2 linked regions of the Sus scrofa genome follow. The protein of the gene in region 1 interacts with the protein of each later gene in a pairwise test. Links are inferred from orthologs where the notes say so. Each region holds a gene or a part of one and is shown on either strand. Other genes may lie near its edges.

The links. The genes of interacting proteins can lie anywhere in the genome.
Region 2: the proteins of FLT1 (region 1) and SHC2 interact in a two-hybrid assay, tested with the Homo sapiens proteins (2 studies listed by BioGRID). The link is inferred for Sus scrofa from reciprocal best matches to the Homo sapiens genes FLT1 and SHC2.

What each region holds. Positions count from the first base shown.
Region 1 is NC_010453.5:5,739,750-5,743,495, reverse strand, and holds part of FLT1 (vascular endothelial growth factor receptor 1), read left to right. Parts: intron 1-3,213; coding exon 3,214-3,370; intron 3,371-3,464; coding exon 3,465-3,601; intron 3,602-3,746. UniProt on the Homo sapiens protein: Tyrosine-protein kinase that acts as a cell-surface receptor for VEGFA, VEGFB and PGF, and plays an essential role in the development of embryonic vasculature, the regulation of angiogenesis, cell survival, cell migration, macrophage function, chemotaxis, and cancer cell invasion.
Region 2 is NC_010444.4:77,810,842-77,815,179, reverse strand, and holds the start of SHC2 (SHC-transforming protein 2), read right to left. Parts: upstream 2,802-4,338; 5' UTR 2,726-2,801; coding exon 2,255-2,725; intron 1-2,254. UniProt on the Homo sapiens protein: Signaling adapter that couples activated growth factor receptors to signaling pathway in neurons. Involved in the signal transduction pathways of neurotrophin-activated Trk receptors in cortical neurons.

The DNA.
Region 1 (3,746 bases):
TACCCCCGCCACTTACCCGCCAGGTCATCAAACGTCCCTCAAGCAGATCGTCTGTTTTTCTGTTTTAGGAACTTTCCCAAATTCCCCCAGGTAAACATTTGGTGGAGATAGAGTTTTCTCTGTTTTTCCACCCAGCTCTATAGTCATTAAAAGGAGAGAAGTATAAAATTGTTTTTCTGTTTTTTCCACTTTTCTTTTTTTGTTGCTCTTTTTTTTTTTTTTTTTTTTTTTTTTTTTGGTCTTTTCAGGGCCGCACCTGCAGGTATGGAGGTTCCCATGCTAGGACCCAGGAACTGGAGCTGCAGCTGCTGGCCTACACCACAGCCACAGCAAGGCCAGATCCTTAACCCACTGAGCGAGGCCAGGGATGGAACCTGAGTCCTCGCGGATGCTAGTCAGATGCGTTTCTGCTGAGCCACTATGGGAACTCCCTTTTTTTCACTTTTAAAAAATTAAAAGTGGAGTTGATTTACAGTGCTGTGCCAATTTCTGCCGCGCAGCAGGATGATTCAGTCATATATATATATATATTTACATTCTTTTTGCAGAGAAGCATAAAGTTCTAAGGTTTTTTTGGTTTATTACATATTTATTGAAAATGTTCTAACCTAGGAGTTCCCTGGTAGCCTAGTGGTTTAGGATCCAGCATTGTCATTGCTGTGTGGTGCGGATTCAGTCCCTGGCCCAGAAACTTCTGCATGCTTTGGGCACAGCCAAAAAAAAAAAAAAAAAAAAACAAACAAACAAAAAAAAACGACAACAGCAAAAACACCCAAAACTTAACCTATTACACGTGTATGAAGTTGCTATCTTTCCCTTCCATTTCTCTTACTGTCCCTTCTTTCCTAACGGGTTGTCCCCTCCTCTCCTTTCCCCTGCCTGCACTGGCGGAGCCCTGCTCAGCTGGCGAGAGCCTCCCTGTAGGTACTGCCTTTCAGGGCTGCCCATCTGTCTGCCCCCCTCTGACACATACAGCACCTGCCCCAGCTGATAAGCTACCTAGTCTGTTGCTGTTTTAGCTCCTGTTGGCTGGAAATCAAGTTCCTTTTTCAGTGGCTACAGCCAGTGGCAGGAATGCATAGGTGAGTAAGGGAAACACTGCAGAGGAGATTTCCATGTGTTTGTAAGTCGCACAGAGAAGTTGGCAGCCAGTCTGTCTTTGAGATTCAGCACATTGCTTTTGCTTTCACCTGTTTTTATAGTGTCATGGATTTCGATCCCTGGCTTGAAGTTTTCTGAGTTTTTCCTTTAATAGTTTGTCAAGTTAGAAGACAAGGTTCCCCACCCCCACCCCCACTGACTGCGGAGGGTTCCTAAGTTTACGGATAGAATCCTAATTTACTAAAACGACATGCATCCTTTGATTGCTTTCCATTCTCCATAGATAGGATGCAATTCATCTCAAACCCAAGTTGCACTCTGGCGATATGTACCAATGCAGACATACCCATGGGGGAATAGAAATCTCTGCCGTAGGACCATACATCCCTGTCTGCTTCCAGAAGCAGTAAACATAAATGATAAATGGATAGAGTGATGGATGCATGGCTGCACCCATGCACCTTTGGCTGCCCCTATAGCACATGCAAGTTCCCGGGCCAAGGATGGAATCTGAGCAGCAGCTGCAACCTGGACAGTCGCCCTGGTGACACTGGATCTTTTAACCCACTGCGGGCTAGGGATTGAACCCGAGCCTCTGCAGTGACCCAAGTGGCTGCACTCAGATTCTTAACTCACTGCCACAGCGGGAACTCCGAGGGGTGTGTGTATGTGTATACTTTTTTTTTTTTTTTTTTTTTTTTTTACTTTTTAGGGCCGTCCCTGTGGCATATGGAAGTTCCCAGGCTAGGGGTCAAATCGGAGCTGCAGCTGCTGGCTCACACCACAGCTATGGCAACATCCAAGCCATGACTGCAATCTCCACCACAGTTTATGGCAACGCCAAAACCCCAACCCATTGAGCAAGGCGAGGGATCAAACCCTCATCCTCATGGATACCAGTCTGATTCATTACCCCTGAGCCACAACGGAACTCCCTCCAAAGTGTACTTTTTAAAAGAAGATACAAAAGACTCGAAACTTCTTTATAGCAGTTGATGCTGTGAAGCTTGGTAATCTGTTGTGGGAAAGTGATCTGATTTTCCCCCCGCTTTTTCCAACTGGGGATAAACAATAGCAGTCATCAGACCACTGCCACTCAAACTGGCTGGCAGTCTGCCATCAGGGGAACTTGGCTGGGCCGCTCTAGGGGCAGTGACCCTTTACAAAGTCTAATCCCACCAGAGATGGTTTGAATTGAGTCCTTGGTACAGAGGAGAGGCATAGTCGGAGAATCAGATCGTGGATTCTTCTGTTTGGGGGTACTCCCAGGAATTGGGGGGCACTGCATTCGTAACTGTTTCTGGCCTCACATTCACTTTCGGCTCTCTTCCCTGTCAGCAGCCTTGGCTTCTGGAACTTTCCCTCCCAGGGGCAGGGTCGACACCCTCAGTCTTCCCCAGAGTGATAACGGCAGTAAGTGCCGAGTTAATGCCATGGACTGCAGAGGACCTAGAATTATGGTCCTTTTAAGACAGCAGCCTCTTTTTTTTTTTTTTTGCCCCCCCTGCCACAGCATATCTGCAGTTGCCACCTGAGCCGCAGCTGCATCAACACCGGATCCTTAACCCACTGTGCCAGGCCAGGGATCAAACCCGTATCCCAGCGCTCCCGAGATGCCGCCCATCTCACTGTGCCACAGCGGCAACTCCAAGACAGCTGCCTCTTTAACAAATCAGGCAAAATGGGAGGCGAATGTGTGGCTTGTTAAAAGCTCCTGGTGACGAGACCGTGAGGACGAAGTGGCAGCCCTAAGGGGAAAAACAGCAAAACATTGATTGGTTTCCTGAGCCAGTTCGTTACAAAGGGCCCAGAGCTCCGGGTTCCCACGAGGGCTCTGACGGGTGAGGAGGTCTCTCCTCTCCTCGGTGGCTGCAGCTTTCGGCCAAGGTTCTTAGCAGACGAGCATGTTGACTGCAATGCATCAGAGTCAACGTGGAGGTGGCTCCATGCAGAGCAAATTAACGAACCGACGATGACAGACTGAAGCTTCTTCCCGCACCCTTCTCATGTGCGGTAACAGCTACATTTTCAGAGCGTTAGTGAATAAGTAGGGAAACGCTTCTATCACAGGGCTAATACGACTCTGTGAAAATGCTTTTCTTCCTTTTCCAGTTTCCACCTGATACGCTGGACGGAAAGAGAATCACCTGGGACAGTAGGAGGGGTTTTATAATATCCAATGCAACATACAAAGAGATAGGGCTGCTGACATGTGAAACAACCATCAACGGACATTTGTACAAGACAAACTACCTCACGCTTCGACAAAGTAAGTGATCTTCCAGAAGCCGGAGTGCCCCTGGCTTTATCCAGTTCATGAAACGTCGATTTTTTTCTTAAATGTTACCTTGCTATGCTTGCAGCCAACACAATCACAGATGTCCGAATAAGCACGCCGAGCCCCGTCAGACTGCTGAGAGGTCACACTCTCGTCCTCAACTGCACGGCCACCACGCCCTTGAACACCAGAGTTCAGATGACCTGGAGTTACCCCGGGGAAGTGAGTGACCCTGTTGCTTCTGTAGGACAGTATTTTGTTTGAGCAAAGGCAGTGTCACTGCGTTTTCGAGGTGGGGGAAAAAATCAGAATATTCTGACTCCCGTGGTGGTTTGAGCCAATAAAGAAGCTTTGGGGTTGGTTTGGG
Region 2 (4,338 bases), on another chromosome or scaffold:
TATGGAGGTTCCTAGGCTAAGGGACGAATTGGAGCTGTAGCTGCCAGCCTTTACGACACCCACAGCAGCGTGGGATCTGACCAGTGTCTGTGACCTACACCCCAGCTCACAGCAACGCTGGATCCTTAACCCACTAAGGCCAGGGATTGAACCCAAAGCCTCATGGATACTAGTCGGGTTCATTAACCACTGAGCCACGATGGGAACTCCTGCTTATCTTTTTTATTGACTGTCACTCCCTCCCTCTAGAAACCTAAGCCCCATAAGAGCAGGGATCAGCTCTTTCTCATTTCCTACCACACCATCAGCACCTGGAGGGGGGTAGGCTTGCTGCATGGATGAAAAAGTCAAGATCACTGGAATAATCCAACAGCTTGCACCCCTACGACGCAAGTGTCTGAACTCTGAACACTCCTAATCCCCATGCTCCTGGCCAATGGGCAGACAATGGTCTGCCCTTGAGGGGCTGTGGTGTGAAGCCCAAGCATCACCCAGGAGACATCTTGCCATGAAATCAGGCTCGAGTCCAGGGAAGCTGAGATTCAACAAAAAAAAAGGGGGCCACAGCCAAGTGAGAAGATGCCAGGAGAAAAAAGACAGATCCAGAATGTGGGGCAACCTGAGGCCTGCAGCCAGGCCTGAAGCTCTGCATTTCTTGCAGCCTCCTGGGGCTGCAGTGCTGGACCACAGATGGAGGAGTGAGGGCCTGGGGTGCACAGAAAGTCAAGGCCATTGGGGGCCACCATAACAAAGCATCACAAATTGGGGGCTTAAAACAACAGAAAGCTAGGAGTTCCCACTGTGGCGTAGCAGGTTATGAGCCTGACTAGTATCCATGGGGATGCGGGTTAGACCCCTGGCCTTGCTCAGTGGGTTAAGGATCTGGCGTTGCTGTGAACTGCAATGTAGGTCACAGACACGGCTGGGATCCCAAGTTGTTGTGGCTGTGGATGGCAGCTGCAGCTCCAATTCAAGCCCTAGCCCAGAACATCCAAATGGTACAAGTTTGGCCCTAAAAAAAAAAGAAAAAACCAGGAATCTAACCCTAACCCAACAGTTCTGGAGGCTAGAAATTGGGGATCAAGGTGTGGCAGGGCCATGCTGTGGGTGGAGGACACTCCAGCGAAGGGCCCTTCCCACCTCCCTCAGCATCTGGTGGTGGTGAGTGGGGACCCTTGGCTTGTGGACCCATCACTCCCTTTCTCCCCCTTTGACAGGTGACCCTTCCCTGTTTGTGTTATAACCTCCTTCTTCTTACAAGGACACCAGAAATTGCATTAGGGATGCCCTCACCCAATGTGAGCTCATCTTAACTTGATGATATCTACAAAGACTATTTCCAAAGAAGGCCACATCCATGGGTTCCTAAGGTAATGAATATGCAGGGATACCACTCTACCCAGTGCGGGAGGAGGGAGGAAAAGAGGTGTTGCAGACTGTAGTAAAGGAAGCAAAGACAGAACAAGCAAATGCAAACTCTGAAACCTCCAGGATCCCGGTCCAAAAAGTAGACAGGCTGCAAATACTGTCAGACCCTCGATGTTACAACGAAGTGCGGGTGGACAGCCTGCATGGAAGCAATTCACAGAGGTCATCCCTCTTGCTTACCGATGGTTCATCGGAAACTACACACAGGCCAGAGATGCAGAGCGGGGAGCCTACAACCCGTGTAAAGGCGAGCCACTCGTTACACGTTTCTGCGCGTCCGAAAAGTTCATGATAAAACCAGGACACATAAAGACCCATGTCTTTACCTCTCCTTCCAGTCTCCTGAGCCTCACATCTCCAATCCTGGAGCCAAGCGGAGGCAATGGACCTTCCAGTAACCCCCTCCCCGAGCCCCCACCTCAGGCCAAGGTCTCCAGCTCTGCGGTCAGAGGAGCTTTCGGTAGGGTCTGAGTGCCAGGATGCACCCAGCCTCGTCCTCACTCCCTAGACTCCCCCGCCAACCCGAAGGGGGTCTACGCTTAACATGCGCATGCGTGACCCGCTCCCACCATCCGCCCTCTCCCCGCCCCTCCCCACGTGACGCCGTGGGAACCTGGACCCAGCACCTCCTAGGTGGGGGCGACCAGCTGAGAGCGGGCTGGCGGTGGGGGTATGGGGTGATGGAGAGAGGAGGAGGGACGGAGCCAAGAGACCTGGCTCTCGGGGTCCAGGGTTGCAAGAGAAAGAAGTGGGGGATGGGAGCCCCTGCTCCCAGATTGGGGCTCCAGGGAGGATGGGATCCCAGGGGTCCCACCGGCGCACTCACCCGAACGATGTAGGAGACCCCGGGCCCCAAGACCCTGGCGTCTGGGTGTAGCCAGCCGTGCGCCGGCTTGTGGATGAAGCTGCCCTTGCGGATCCACTCGTCCGCGGCGGCGTCCGGGGGCCCGGCCACTCCCCGCGCGCCCCGTGGCCCCCGAGTACCGGCGGCCCGGCAGCGGCTGAGAGCAGGCAGGGGGCAGGGCGCCGCGCAGCGCGGCTCGCAAGCACCCAGGACCGCGGCTGCCAGCGCCGGGACGCCGGCCGAGTCGGCCGGCTCGGGCTCAGGCTCGGGGTCAGTGGACCCCGCGCTCCCCGCTGCACGCGCCGCTGCGGGGCCGCGGCCCAGGAACCCGGCAGGGGCGGCGAACTTCCACTGCGGCATGCGCGGCAGCAGCGCGCAGAAGGTGGTGGGCGCCTCGGGCTCGGGGGGTGCAGGGGGCGCGGGGGGCGCGCGCCCGCCCGGACCCTGCGTCATGGCCGCAGCCGCCCGACCGAGCCCGACCGGGCGCTGCGCCTGGCGGGGAGGAGGCCCTCCCGCTCCCTCCCGCTCGCTCCCGCTCGCTCCCCGCCCCTGGCCCGGTGATGTCATCCGTCCGGCCCAGCGCGCAGCCGCGGGGGGCTGCGCCCTTGGGACCCCCGGCCCTCGGCGTCCAGATGCTTGGTAGGGAGGCTGGGGAAACTGAGGCCCTACGAGGACACAGGCGCTGGCATGAGTCGGGTAGCCAAGGAGGGAGAGAGGTTCCGAATCCAGGACCCAGGCAGAGACCCCCTTACTTCGCCCCCCACTTGTCCCCAGGTTCCTAGGACAGAGGTGGGAGAGCCTTATAAATAGCTTCCTTCTTCCCTTTTTGACGTGGGGAAACTGAGGTCTGGAGAGGGGCGGAGACACGGTCCGGGAAGGAGAGCGCTGCAACCCCTCAGGTCATCTCCCTCACTTCCCTCTGTTCCAACCGAAGGTACTTAAAAATTTTGCCCTGCTTTATTTCCTAACTGGGAACCTGAGACTCAGAGAGGGTAAGGCATGTGCCCGAGGACACACAGCGCAGACTCCGACCCAGGAGTGCCGAGTTGGGCTGGCTGTGCAGCCTTTCCCTGGACCTCAGTTCCCCCGGCTGTAAGCCAGGGGCACGGCACGGGCTAGAGCATCACCGGCTCCTCCTTCATTTCTGAGTAGCCCCGTGCAGCATCAACCCAACTGAACTCTTGGGCCTAAGCCCTCCAGGCCAGCCAGCGTCTCCGTCCGCCAAGGCCTCCACGGCTGCCGCTTCTGCACGGAGAACGGACAGTCTTGGTCACCCCAGGACCAGCATCCCAGCCCGGCGCTGACCATCCCCCTCCCCGCCCCCTCCCCCTCCAGCCCCGCCCCAGGCTGGGCCGGCTGCCGGGAAACAAAGGGAGGGGGGCCGGGGCCGCGGCAGGTGGGGACGGGCGAGGCAGCCGAGAGCCAGATCGATAAATCAGAGGAGTGAGATCACCGCGTGGCCGCCGCCCGCGGGCGCGAGAGGAGGCAGCAATGGGGGCGGGAGGGAAGGCGCGCGCGGCTGTGATTGGCCGGCAGGCTGGGCGGGGGTGGGGGGAGGTCAGTGACGCTGAGAGAGAAATTGTGGCCCGCAGAAGGCTCGGCCTTGGGTCAGCCGGTGGGGGTGACTTTGTCGGAGTCTGGGGCACCCACCTGGACACCTGTGTGTTCCTTGTCTCTGATGTGGGCTACAAAATTGTGGACTGTGTGAGGGTTGGCTTGTATTTATACTGTGCGTGGATGTGAATGTGAGAGAGTCCAGCTGTGTGTGCAGAGGCCCTGTTGTGTGTCTTGCTGTGTGTGTAAGGGTCCTGGTGTGTGTCCAGGTACGTGTAGAGGTCCTAGGGTGTGTCCTCCTGTGTGTGTAGGGGTCCTGGTGTGTGTCCTGTGTCTAGAGGTCCTGGTGCATACCCAGGTGTGTATAGAGGTCCTGGGTGTGTGTCCAGGTGTTTGTGTAGGGATCCTGGTGTGTGTCCAGCTGTATAAGTCCTAGTGTGTGTCCAGCTGTGTGTAGGGGTCCCGGTGTGTCCACCTAGTTAGGTGAAGGGTATGAGGTCAAGTCTGGTCCC